2 linked regions of the Oreochromis niloticus genome follow. The protein of the gene in region 2 binds, or shares a complex with, the protein of the main gene of each other region. Links are inferred from orthologs where the notes say so. Each region holds a gene or a part of one and is shown on either strand. Other genes may lie near its edges.

Region 1 (7,196 bases), on a different chromosome or scaffold from region 2:
AATGTGTGGAGCGTTTGATCCATCATACCGGTGTGCTCCAACAGCCTGCAGACCCAGGGGTGGAGCTCATCTGACAGGAAACAGGCGTATACAGGTACACTCTGTCAGTGTTTGTATGTAAAGATGGTCGCCTCCAGAGACCACTATCGGTCAGAACACTGGAGCAGTTGTTACCGGGCAGGTTGACGTCGGACAGGTATCTGAGGCTGAGCAGCGCCGGGTGCAGCAGGGTCTGCCGACTGACTGGAGGAAAAGCAGGAAGCTGCAGGAACTGAATGATAGTCTCGGCCTCCTTATGAACGGCGTGATGAGACGGGACTGTCTGCAGAAACCAGGTGAGAGCTAAGTCATGCATCATTACCGGGGCCAGGTAATAAACAAGATGGCGGCTTTCTCACCTCGACTATGAAGATGAGGGAGTCCTTCCCTGTGACTTTCATCTCCTCGGGAAGCTGCTCATAGGCGTTCAAGTACGGGATGTGACCCTCATTCACAAGCCTGCAAAACATCACGTTCATTCAGCTGAAAAACTCTGGTTAAAAACCCTCAGCCACACAAGTGCAGGTGGGTGCAAGCGTTACCTGAGCAGGTCGCTGAGCGTCAGCGCCTCACGGCTCCATACCAGAGCCAGGTAGATCAGCGCCAGTGTCTTCTTCATGCTCAGCAGACTCTGGCTCCGCTTCTTCCTGGCCGACAGGTAGGTGAGGGTGTCCGAGGAGCCGGACCAAAAACCGGAGTTCTCTGAGGTTAAACGAGCAGTTCAGCTAATGCAAGAAACCTCATCTGGTCATGTGAAACTTTTACAGGAGCTTCCTGTCAGACTGAAAACGCTTCCAGCACCGTACCTGTGTTTGAGCCCGCTGTGCTTGCTGGGTTCGACTCGCCGTCTGTGCAGCTGATTGCCTCGCTGGCGCTCTCCGAGTCCGAACCCACGGCTCTCTGAGGATTTAGATTTAATTATTAAATCTCAAAAAATGAAATGAGTCAATAAAATGAAATCAATAAACTAAAAAATAAAATAAAAAAATAAATAAAACTTAGTAGATGAAGTAAAACATAAAATTAAAAAAAATGATTAAATATACAAAAAGAATACAAATAAAAAAATTGTGAAATAAGAAAATAAAGAAAACTAATCAAAATTAAGCATTAAAAATACAAATCAAATCAAATAAAAATACAAAAAAGAAAACAAAATGGATTTAAAAACAAACAAACAAACAAACAAACAAACAAACAAACAAAAAAACATAAGGTGAAACTGCCAGAAAAAAAATAATGCAGACGAGCAGTTTCCATGCACCACCCGAACCTCCGCTACCATAAAAACTCACCACTCTGAACTTGCAGCTCCTCACAGGGTCGTGGGTATAGGCCTGGCGACTTTTCTGCAGGTAACACCTCCACAGAGGACACAGCACGTCGTCCTAAAACAGTGACACGAGTCAGGCCTCTAATTGGATGCTTTGTGGTTAACAGAGAGAGGAGGCGGACCTTAAATTGAGGACTGACTCCGAGCGCGAGCAGAGCATCGGCCTGGTTCTTCAGGATGAACTGGAAACCCTCGCAGACCATCCACACGTGACCACGCTCTAAGACAAACAGACATGTTAAACAGGATATGACATCATCGATTTATGCTGCTGCTGATCGGACACTGACCGGCCTGCTTCTTGCGGGGTCCTCTGATGGTTGACACCCTGCTGGACAACTTTAAGAAGGACAGGTCCACCACCTCCCGGGTCCTCTAAGGACACAGTCACATGTTAGGCAGCAGAATAAGGAGGTCCTCTACACGTGGGCTTAACCACCAACACCATATTGTTAAAAGAAGCATCTTAAAGCATGTTTATGGAGTTCTGAATTCCCTATATCCCCATAACAACTTCACACTCATCCACCTGTGTAGTAAAAAGAGTGTCTCTGAAAGGGCACTGAAGAGACCCTGACACCTCAACCTCCAGCTACAGACCACTGTACAGGTCATAATGATGAAGATGTTTTTACCTCGATCACGTTGTGGCAGGACCTGCAGTAGAAGCGACCCTCGTCCGAAATGCCCCAGTCCACCGCAGAACACTGGGCACAGGGCACCGTGTACTCGGCCTGCACGCGCGCACGCACGCACACACACACACACACACACACACGTGGTAATGTTCAGGTGTTTCTGTAAATATTTTAATGAACAAATTAATCTTTCAGTTTAAAAAAAAAAAAAAAAAAGTACTTTATGTATGTAATGTTCACATTTAAATGCCTTTAAAAACACATTTATGTGAAACTGCACAGCAGCGCCCACGGGAAAGAACAACAATTAAACCTCCAGATCCCAAACACTTCACCCAGAAAAGCCTAGACGTCATTAACAACGATTGCTAACACAATCCTTCTGTGTTTATCGGGAATCATTTTTTGTGTTTTCATTTGTTTACTTTAGGGCTGCTTTGAGACTTTGAGTACTTCGACACACAATGTAGTTTAAATAAAAATTTAAATCAAAACTCATTAAGCGTTCACAGTTATTGGTACTGATAGACGGATGAGTTTATTTCAAACATTATAAATAAACTGTCGCTGATACTATGCTAACGGATTTTAATTAAAGAGAACAGTTATTAAATGTGTGCCGATTAACTATTCAGCGGCTGCACAGTCACACAAACCCGTTAAATGTCTGAAGTTAAAGTTGGAGACTGAATGTCGTGCCAATCATCTTAAAACACTAATATTTCTAATGGAGTTTGATAAGACCGAACTAGCTGACAACTGCGTTCACCGTAGGTTGCGTAAAATGAAACGAACTGTTTATGAGAGCACCGCGGGACTCACCGTATGTTCGTCATCCATCCCGAGTGGAAAACTGCAGCTTTAACACGAAACTTTGGATTTTATCGGCACTTCGTTACAACCGCACATGCCTCTGGTCGGAGATACTGGGATTCTTCTTCTTCGCGCTTGATTTCTGGGAGACTGAACGCCTCTCTGCTGCAACCACAGGCCAGATTACATACTTCAACTGCTTCTACTCAGCTGTAAAAATAAAATAAAATAAAATAAAATAAAATAAATTAAATACGTTTTATTTAAATATTGTTATAAGTAAAAATAAAAATAATACATGTGTTAAATGTGTTGGTCAGAGGGCCGGGTGGCGCCAGTGTCCGGCGCCCCAGGGTGGCTGTGGCTACAATGTAGCTTGCCATCACCAGTGTGTGACAATGTGTGTGTGAATGGGTGGATGACTGGATGTGTAAAGCGCTTTGGGGTCCTTAGGGACTAGTAAAGCGCTATACAAATACAGGCCATTTACCATTTACCATTAAAAATAACAAATGATAAATGTGACTTTTATACTTATTTTTAAATCTCCTAGTATAAATATACTGTGTATGAATTTTCTGGATGTTTCTCAGTCACTTTTAATCAGGAGAGTTTTTCTTCCTCCAGATGATGATGATGATGATGAAGAGTTCCTGATGTGCTCTGTGTTTCTAAGCGGATTTGATGAGGTCAGAGGTTATAAATAGATGCCAGATGTCTCTCTGATTCTCTTATATAAGCTGACCCCCCCCCCACACACACATACACACAGAATAATAGTTTGATTGATTTTTATTATTGATCTAACTGAGGCTGATCAGCTGTCATCAATCACTGTCACGGGAATGGTTTCGCGACTTTTTGTTGGACTCGCGCAAAGTTTACAACAAAACAAACACAAACGCCTGACGGATTTTCAAAATAACACGTGCGGGCAAACACTTTGTGAAACATTTCTAAAACAACTGAAGGTTTGATTCTTCCATTGCTATTAAAGAGGGCTATACAACACAGACAACCCACTAAACAAAATTAAGATTAAGATTAAGATGATTATTTATTGATTTGAAACATATTTGTATGCATACATTACTATTTGTATTTGAAATTGTGTAATTTTATTTGTTATTTATTTCTCTAGTTAATTTCATTAAATGAATTAAATGTTGTATTATATTTATTACTTTAAAATGAACTTTTTTACTTACGTTTTAGTTTTAAAGTTTCGATGACAGCACTCCACCTCCAGTCTAAAGGATTACCATCATTAAAATTTATTGGATTATTGATTATTAGCTATCGTGCGTTTGTTTTCGACAGTATTGATTAATAATCAAATGTACCCTTAAAGTCCCTTGCTTTTACTGTGAAAGCCCTCGGGCCTCCTTCCGCCCTCCTTCCTCGGCTCTCGGTAGCTTCACTCGGCCGCTCTCGGGCTTCCTGGTTCGGCGGAGTGGGGGCGTTTGTTCTGCCCGTTTCCTCTGCCCGTTTCCAAACACAACAAAGACTCGAGTGGGGTGAGATTTAGTGAGGTCGGTCCAGAGATGAGCTTTAAAGCTGACGTTTGTTTCTGAGCTGCGGTCGGAGTTTAGTCTGATGCTAGAACGCTGAAGCGAGCGGCGGAAGGTCTTCATTTAGTCCGTCCCGACGGTTCAACATGCGGCTGATTTTCGCCTTTTTAGCCGCTTTCACCGCTTTAACGGAGGCCGCCGTCCCCCCGGACAAGACGGAGCAGGACTTCAGTGAGTGTTTAAAACTGAATTTAATCGTAAATGTGTCCTTTGTGAGGACCGCCGGTCCGCTGGAAAAGTTCATGTTTGAGGCAGAAGGTATGGAGGACCGCTCATGCCAAACAAAAGTTTAATTCGCATAAAAATCACAGGTATTTAAATAAATGGCTGAGTCCAGGAGCATTCAACTTGATCATGATAGGAGTTTATTGAATTAAAATAAAGTCAAATGAGATTAAAAGTTAACATTTTGACCAGAGAGATATAACTATAGTTGAAAAAAAAAATCACAATACACTAACGTGGAACAACTGTGGGTTTAGAATTTATCTTAAAAATAAAAAAGTCATAAATAAGAAGAGAAGTGTAGGGAGTGAATTTTGACTTTTAGGAAAGAAAAAGCAAAACCTAAGAATAATACTGTGCCATAACGATGTTGGCATGACATCACATGTCACTGGTTTGTAATCATGATGTCATCATTTGACAGGAAATGAGGCGATGAAAAGTGATGAGTCCTGAAGTTTAATATTTTAACTTCTTTTATTGTTACAAACTTTTTCTTTTCATAAAAGGAAAAAGTGGATGAAAAACATACATTTATGTTAAATATAAAGTCAGCAGCATTTTATTTGTGTTAATTATTAACTTATGTGTTGATTTTGGTCACGTTTTTGAGGCACGTGTTGGCGTGTGGTGGAGGAGCTGAGGTATTTCACAGGATTTTCAATGCTAACGGGCAGGTTTGCGTTCTCTCTGTAGTGTCTCTCAGAGCGATGCTGGATGACTTTGATGTGCTGCCTCTCTCCAGCCTGCAGACGCACTCCGTCCGCCGCCGTGACGTCCAGTCTCAGACGCACATGGAGAAGCTGGTCAGCTTCAGCGCCCTGCAAAGGTAAGATAGCGGCATCCGTCCGTGCAGCTCGGTGCCATTTTAAAATCTTTGATTTGTGAAATCTGAACATCTCCTCCTCGTGTCTACAGGCATTTCAGACTCTACCTGAGGACCAACGACGAGCTCTTCACCAGCGACTTCAGAGCCGTGGTCATCAGCGAGGATGGCCAAGAGCGGACCTACCCGGTCAACAGGCACAACTACTTCACCGGACACGTCATCGGTAAACTGTTTAAGCAGAGCCTTTGTGGAGGTCTTTGGGGGTAGAATTCTACTAATTGGTTTCTTGTAAAGCTTGCAGAGTAATTTAAAAAAATCCCCAGATGTCCTTGAGAAGGTTCGCGAGGCCTTGTCAGGCTTCTTGTAGATGTTGTCAGGCTGCTACTTCAAACACACGTGTAGAATGCGTGTGGTGACCTTTGACAGGATTAATATGGAGTAACGGCTCCTTTAATGTGTTTTTGTGTTGTAGGGGAGGAGAACTCCCGTGTTCAGGCGCACATCGAAGATGACGAGTTCTCCGCTCACATCCTGACTGATGAGGCCGAGTACAATGTTGAGGTAAACACCTGAGACTTGGAGTAAGCGCCTGCTGAGTGATCGGTCCCTAAACCTTCCTCTGCTCTCTTCAGCCTCTTTGGAGGTTCACGTCGGCGCCCTCTGACGGTCGCCTCATAATCTATCGCTCGGAAGACATCCGCAACATCAGCCGCCTGCAGCAGCCTTCGGTCTGCGGCTACGTGACCTCTGACCCCAGTGACCTGCTCCCTGACAGCGTGAGAGCAGCTGTGGTGGAGGAAAAGGAGGAAGAAGGTGAGAAGCGAGGTCCTCGCCTGAACTTGGCACTGTGACTGCTTCCTGTTTGAGGGTAAAGCTCACACTGACCCAAAGCGACCACGCCCAGGTGACACAGGAACTGCGTTAACCACAGAGACAGCGAGAACTTCCTGTCACTGCGCAGCACAAACGTGAAAGTCCAGTGAAACACCTTCATCTGAACTGAGTACAGAGCGAGCGACACAAACAGGAAGTCAGTCAGAAAAAAGACTTTTAATGTGAAAAAAATAACAAAGTAAAAGCTGTTTAAACAAAAGAAACAAAAGAGAGCTTGCCATCCCAACAGGTGAAATCTTATTCCTGAAAAGTTTGAGCTTTAAATGGGGAAAAAAACCAAATCTGAAAAAGTGCTCTTAAGGTGGGGGAAAAAAACGATTTAAAAAAATCAGGTTTGGGTCAGAGAACAGAGATATTACAGTGAAAACATATATTTTCATATTTGACACACTCAAACGCTCATAAATAATAACAAATAAAAAAGAGCTTTCAGTGTCAAATGTATAAATAACATTGTCTGACGTGTTTCGGTGGTTTCTTGTTTAGAGTCGGCGTTCAGAGTGAAGCGTCACGTGCACGACCACAAGAAGAACACGTGTCCTCTGCTGCTGGTGGCCGACCATCGCTTTTACAAACACATGGGCCGTGAGGAGGAGAGCACAACCCTCAACTACCTGGTCGGTACCACCTGTACATCCATCACCCCCGCCATCCACTGACACTTAACCCCACCCCCTCCCAACTGTGTTTCAGATTGAGCTGATCGACCGTGTCGACGACATCTACAGAAACACGTCGTGGGGCGAGGGGTTCAGCGGGTACGGCGTCCAGATCCAGCAGGTGAGCATGCTCTGTTCCGCTTCCTGTTTGTGTTGTCCCACTGTGATTTTTAACGTGAAGCTGCGTTCCTGCCA
Region 2 (6,897 bases):
TTTAAGCCAAGATTCCTGGACAGAAATAACATCCGGTTTAACATTAAGTAGTTTGATGAAATGCTTCAACTCTTGGCCATTGGCCAACAGACTCCTTGCATTCCATTAAAGGATAAGTACCATGAGTACATAAAATAATATCATGCTTCCTGACTTGACTGATAATTGAGGTTGTCCCTCACTTCTTCCCATGTCAGTCCTACTAAACCCAAGTGTTTAATCGCCCTGGCTTAACAATAAGCTGAATTTTCTCCTGCTTAGATTTCACATCAGCTGTGGTGTTTATCACTCCTGCAATGAATGTAACCAACGCCATCTTATCAATAACCATACCATTCGTGTTGATCTGGGGAACTCCTTGACCCCGAGATGTACCCTGTCCTGGGTTGACGTTGACCTGTTCACTCACTCTCATCACCCTCACTGCTTCAGCATAGGAGATCTTCTTCTCCACCCTCACTTTTTGAATATGATTTTCTTGTTTCATTCTCTCACATCCAGCATACGCAACACTGTGACTCCCACCACAACTACAACACTTTGGTTGAACTCCATCTCCACATTTCCCATATTCGTGATCTCCACCACACAGAGCACATCTCCTCTTTTCCTTACAGTTTTTCGCTAGGTGTCCAAACCTTTGACAGTTAAAGCACCTCAGAGGTTTTGGAACGTAGGCTCATTCTGGATAACTGATGAAACCCAAAAACACTTTCCTTGGCAGATTTCCTTCTTCAAAGTGTCTCAGGATACTTTCACTATCTACCTTAATTCCTTCTTTTGTTGCTTTCAACCTGCCCACAGAAATCACATTTCCTCCTTTGATTTTTTCTTTTCAGATCATCCATTTTCACACTAATGGGGACCCCAGAAATTACCCCCTTGCATCCACCTCCTGTCTGTGCACCCACATGCCCAACATTTTCCACTTTAAACTTCCCCAACTGCTTTAAGTTCAAAGCCTTGTTGAACTGCTCTTCATTTACACATTGCACAAGAAGATTTCCATCTGACAGTACCTTAGCAGAAACTAGATCTCCCACTTTACTGTTAAGTTCAGCTGTCAACACGAACTGACTCAGTTTTTTAATATTGACTTGTGTTCTTTCGGTAAATCTCAGAACAGCAAACATTTTCTCTCTAGCTTCTAAAGAATCATCCCTACCACTACTGCTCCCACCTCTTTTACGCTTTCCCCTCCTCTGCTCACTTTGCATTTGCTCCAGAGGCATTTCCTCTTCTTCGTCTAAATCAACATAGTCTTCCCAGCTGCACACAGCTGACCCACTCATGGAACAGTCGTGCTCAACCGCCGCCAATCATTTCCACTGATTCCTCCATGAGCTGGCACCCAAAGAAAGTGAATATTGCCACCAATCAACCACCCAGCCCCACCTACAAAGGGCGGTTCCCAGTCTCAGGTCTCACCTGTCACATTCATATATTCATATACACACACTACCAGTTAAAAGTTTTAGAACACCCCAGTTTTTCCAGTTATTTATTGCAATTTAAGTCGTTGAAGTTCAATGGATAGCTTGAAATGGTACAAAGGTAAGTGGTGAACTGACAGAGGTTTTAAAAAAAGAATGGTTACCCAAAAATTATACAAAAAGGCCTTTTTCAGGGAACACAAAATGAGTTAACGATTTAAAGCTGTTCTGCAGCAACGGCGGTTCAAGTCTTGAAAGCTGGTGCTACTAATTCCTACAGGTGTTCCAACTGTTCTGGGTTACTTACAACCATCTCTGTCTAAATAAAATGGTGTCTGCATTTATGCTTCAATCTCTAATAATTGGCTATGTACCACAGGCCTTCAAGCTTCAACAGTGGACTCATCTCTATGCTTGTCCTGCTAGACCTCAGTGCAGCGTTCGATACTGTTGACCATAATATCCTATTAGAGTGATTAGAGCACGCTGTAGGTACTACAGGTACTGTGCTGCAGTGGTTTGTATCATATCTATCTAATAGACTCCAATTTGTTCATGTAAATGGAGAGTCAGGAGAGGTTTAACTACTGCCAGCTTGAAGGCCTGTGGTACATAGCTGATTATTAGAGATAGGTTGATCATATTTAAGATTGAAGAATTAATTAATGGCAGGACTTCTTTGAGCAGTTTTGTAGGAATGGGGTCTAAAAGACACGTTGATGGTTTGGAGGAAGTAATTATTGAAGTTAACTCAGAAAGATCAATTGGAGAAAAAGAGTCTAACTTAACATCAATGGTACTAAGAGTAGCTGTAGATAATATTACATCTGTGGGATGATTATTGGTAATTTTTTCTCTAATGATTAAAATTTTATTTGTGAAGAAGTTCATGAAGTCATTACTAGTTAACGTTAAAGGGATGGTTGGCTCAGTAGAGCTCTGACTGTTTGTCAGCCTGGCTACAGTGCTGAAGAGAAACCTGGGGTTGTTCTTATTTTCTTCAATCAGTGACGAATAGTAAGATGTTCTGGCTTTGCGGAGGGCTTTCTTATAAAGCAGCAAACTATTTCTCCAGGCTAAATGATGATCCTCTAAATTTGTGACACGCCATTTCCTCTCCAGCTGAAGACCTGAGGCTGAGGGGAGGACAGTGAACTGTAATGACTCACACACGTAGATCCTACGTGTGTGAGTGATGTGTTGTATGAGGGAGTGTGTGGGGGGGAGGGGGGTATATATAAGACTGCCCCCACCACAAAGGGTGGTCTTGCAGATGAGTCCCAAATCTGACAGCATCAGATGTCACTGGAGATGACACTGTGATGAGTATGAAGCTATATAAAAGTCTTTCAAAGGTTTCTTTATTTGTTGAGGATCATAAGTAATGCTTCTGGTCAAATCCTTTATAGAATTAATAGTTGTTTATTTCTTTATTTAGTTTTAACTTTGCAAAGAATTTTCCAGATTTATTGCCTTGTTTAAAGCACGCCAAACACAGCCTTTGCATCAGAAATTGCGTTTTCTTGGTAATTACTTAATGTAATTCTAGTTTTAGCTTTCTTGGGTTGTTAATAATGTGTTCTTGTGGTGAGGCAAAGCAATCATTAGGCAGCTTTTAATGATTTTATTTTTTGTTCTAGTTCTATTTAAAAAAAAAAATTCTTATTTGAACAGTAAGATATTGTTTAAAGTGTTAGAAAAAATACTGTTGTATGACGAATCCAAACTGGGAGCGGAATCACAAGTAAGCCTGCAGTGTGAGAGCGAGTGCTCTATTGGGGTAATATAGAGTAGTATGAGGTCTTTAAGATTCATACTAATATAATACGGGCTATCAACTATGAACTAAGTAAACTAACAGAGTACACCTAAGTATAACGGAAGTATTATAATGATCATTTACATGATATGTGCTTCTTTGTCAGTGGTGCATATAATTAGTTGGATACATGAAATTTATCCAATGATAATAATTTCATCAGGCTGAGTTGATAAAAATTGATGTAAATGGCTGCATGCTCTGTGATAGTGAGTTAAAAATGTGTTATCTTTGATCCAACTTTGATTTTATTCTATTCTGTACAGTACAGTTGTGTACTGTATTTATTCTTATTGTATTCTAATTTTTGCTTCATAACTTTTGCACTGTCCACTTCCTGCTGTGACAAAACAAATTTCCCACGTGTGGGACTAATAAAGGCTATCTTATCTTATCTTAATCTGTTTACTCTGCTTTTCTTTCCTTTTTTGTTGCTTTATAAAAGCTACATTTATTCTTTTTGTTTGTTCGTTTGTTGTATTTGTTCAGCCTGTGTTATTGTTACGGTGTGAGCCTTGACTCACAGCCTGTGTTTGTTTGTACATAAGCTCAATAAAGTTACTTCACTCAGGTAGGAACCTTCCTGAGCGAAATGGATTCCTTGAACGTTCTCCTTTAATGTGACACTCCTGCTCCGAACAATCACTTCCGTAAACACGCAGTTCTCTTCCTGTTACTTTCGCGTGGTTTTGGACGGGACGTCCTGGAGTTTGTTTTCCGGAAGCGTGTTTCCTTTGATCAAACTAGTTAACGCCACAGTATCGAGAGCTGTACGGTGTGAGAGATGTAACGAGCGAGTCTCCTTTCCAGCTCTGTCTTTCAGCTTAACAAGCAAAGACCAGCGTTAGCTGCCCGGTGGGTTATGGAAATAGACGGTCGAGACTTTCTGAAGACCCCTTCTGTGAAGACGGTCAGATTTGGAGGTAGTGTTGCGGAGACGTTAGAGAAACACAAACACGTGAGTTATATCTTAGGGTTGTCATTCTTGGAAAATGATAAAGAGAGATATTTATTTAGGGTTGTTGATTCTGGTGACACATCTACGAGATGGTCCACTAAGTTATTAAATGAATCTAGACCCACCTGCTGGCCTGTCTGTGGATTCTGCTGACCTTCGTAAAGTTGTTTACAAACACCTCTATGTTTCCTACGCTTTTGGTGAACTGCTTTTTTGGTGAGCTGTTTCTCCTTGTTTTTTAAGGGAGACTCGAGTGATTATGAACTCCTGAAACATCAGCTGGTTGATCCTGAGATAAAGGTAAGCATTAGTGTGAGGGCACCCTGTGGTGTGGTGGACTTTGCTTCTCAGTGAACGCCCTCTCCTCCGACAGGATGCTCAGATCATCAACTGGCTGCAAGAATTTCGGACTTGTGTGACCCACCTGACCAAGGATCATGAACAGCTCATTTATACTATACTGGTGAGTGTAAATATTAACATGATGCAAGGAGAAGAGTACTATATTTACTCCACCGGGGGTCCAAGTGATCTGAGTCGATCTAAAACAAACATCACATCAACAAACTGCATGCTGCTGATTAGCCTGTCAGCATGGCAAGCAGACGGCTTAGCAGCAGATGTACCGTTGCCTCGGTGTCCGCCATTGTTGTGTAGCGTTTAAATGAGCTCATGGGACTTTTGGGTGTTGCTATAACGACCCCACGAACATTGAGGTGGTACTCAGTTATATTGTAAAATCACCAAAACCGAGCAGAGTAGGTACGAGTGGAAAAGAGGCATAAGCTTTAATTTTTAAAAGGATCCATTTTAAAGTTTCAGAGCTTTTAATATGCAGCTGTTACTTTAGACCTAAACAGCAGCACTGAGTGCAGGCAGTGCACTAAATGACCAGATTAACCAGTTTCTGCAGCACTGATCACATGTTGCATTTTACCAGTATATTTTTATGTTCTATAGATTTTTAAATTTATTTGATAATGTTTCTGTTGGAGCTGTCATGAATTTTCTCTTTATTGTGGGATTTTCACATGACATGTGAAATGCCCATTATAGTTTAGTTAGATACTGCCAACACCACCCCTCTCATGTGAGTGCGCAGGGCAAACCCCAAGTTAACTTACTGCTCACACTAATCACCACAGTTACAGAACAAATGTCACCTGACAGAAAAACATATAGAATCAAACACAGGATGAACTGTAGTCCTCGGGTCTGGGGCCCATCTGCACACTGAGCCGTCACACCAGCCATCCACTCCATCAGCAACAGACAAAAAAAGCGAGTGCAAGACAAACTGGCCTGTGTAGGACCTGCTGCCTCGCAACCCACCCAAACTACCCCACAACTGAGAGAAAAAATGAATTTGTTTGATCTTAAACATGTAAATGTTAAAAAAAAAAAAAGTCATCAGGAATTTGGCAAATACTTTTTCACAGCACTATTATAGCCTAAAAACAGGACCTAGGCAGGTTTTGTTCTTGTATTTGATTGACTTGCATTGACTGTAAATAACATACTGTAATGCTGTTGCTGGCCTCTTGTGGCAGTAAATTCAAACTTTGAATGAGGCAGTCTGTCATTATAGACTCATTCAAAAAAAAAGAGGATGGAAATGCCTTTTATTTTGTTTTCTCTAATAAATAAATGCCTATTGCAAGCTACACTGATAATACCTTGATTAGTATATTTTTATTATATTGTCATGAATATTATCGCATATTTCTTTGAAATATTGTTATAAAACTAATATAACTTATAACCTAGCCCTGTTCCTCAGTGTGGGTGAGAGGTCATTTGCTTTTTAAAGCAACATCTTAAACTAGTATGTATTAATAAAACAAAGAAATTAAATTGAGCCAAGAAAAAAGAGGGTAGATATACAAGATATAGAACATGTATGCCTTCACCAAATTTGTAATGACCTCATTCCAATATGAAATTCAATTTTCTTTATATTGCACCAAATCGCAACAACAGTCGCCTCTACAGTTGACAGGGAAAGTATTATTGTGATCAGACCTGCAGAGAGAACCGCACATCCAGAACGCTGACTCGTTGTTCTTAGTTTAATCCACACCCGTTTAGCCTTCTGCTCCTGTAGTAACCAGACAATAACCCTTGATCACTGATTCCCCACACCAGCGTTCAAGTTTGAATCAGGACCAATATTAGAGTCAAATATAAAATGAAAAAAAAAAAATTCACGGGAAAAGCCGTGGTTGATTTAACATGGACAAACAAACTTTTGTCAGTATGATATACTGTTGAGAATGTGTCATCTATTCTGTTATTTTGTTACACATTTTAAACCGTTCAGTCCACTGATACGGTCGAAGATAAAGTACTTTCTAACTCTAGCAGTGGATTATTTGGCCTTAGGTGTCTTCATGTGGTGTGAATCAGCAGACGTCCAAAAAGCTGATTGTGTTTATATGCTGGAAGACATTACACTGTGTGTGTGTGTGTGTGTGTGTGTGTGTGTGTGTGTGTGTGTTTGTTTTATAGAGGCTTCCTTGGCTGGGCCGGAGCCAGGCTGTGGTGGACGAGTACCTGGCCTTTCTGGGTAACCTGGTGTCGGCACAGACTGTCTACTTGTGTGCCTGCCTTAACATGGTGGTCTCCCACTTCACCCCCAGTATGTTACTCTGACTGGTACTGAAGTAATCATGATTCATACACGTGTT

What was found. The genes of interacting proteins can lie anywhere in the genome.
Region 1: rrn3 (region 2) and taf1b share a complex: the UniProt entries of both Homo sapiens proteins name them as parts of the pol I pre-initiation complex. The link is inferred for Oreochromis niloticus from reciprocal best matches to the Homo sapiens genes RRN3 and TAF1B.

Annotation. Positions count from the first base shown.
Region 1 is NC_031980.2:25,316,312-25,323,507, forward strand, and holds the start of taf1b (TATA box-binding protein-associated factor RNA polymerase I subunit B), read right to left. Parts: upstream 3,023-7,196; 5' UTR 2,851-3,022; coding exon 2,833-2,850; intron 2,107-2,832; coding exon 2,008-2,106; intron 1,748-2,007; coding exon 1,663-1,747; intron 1,593-1,662; coding exon 1,495-1,592; intron 1,428-1,494; coding exon 1,335-1,427; intron 940-1,334; coding exon 846-939; intron 742-845; coding exon 582-741; intron 499-581; coding exon 399-498; intron 323-398; coding exon 175-322; intron 71-174; coding exon 1-70. Other genes in the region: adam17b (disintegrin and metalloproteinase domain-containing protein 17), read left to right, coding at 4,481-4,565, 5,316-5,448, 5,538-5,671, 5,921-6,009, 6,081-6,261, 6,829-6,959, 7,036-7,122. UniProt on the Homo sapiens protein: Component of RNA polymerase I core factor complex that acts as a GTF2B/TFIIB-like factor and plays a key role in multiple steps during transcription initiation such as pre-initiation complex (PIC) assembly and postpolymerase recruitment events in polymerase I (Pol I) transcription.
Region 2 is NC_031969.2:6,416,895-6,423,791, forward strand, and holds the start of rrn3 (RNA polymerase I-specific transcription initiation factor RRN3), read left to right. Parts: upstream 1-3,890; 5' UTR 3,891-4,114; coding exon 4,115-4,210; intron 4,211-4,453; coding exon 4,454-4,510; intron 4,511-4,583; coding exon 4,584-4,673; intron 4,674-6,718; coding exon 6,719-6,848; intron 6,849-6,897. UniProt on the Homo sapiens protein: Required for efficient transcription initiation by RNA polymerase I (Pol I). Required for the formation of the competent pre-initiation complex (PIC).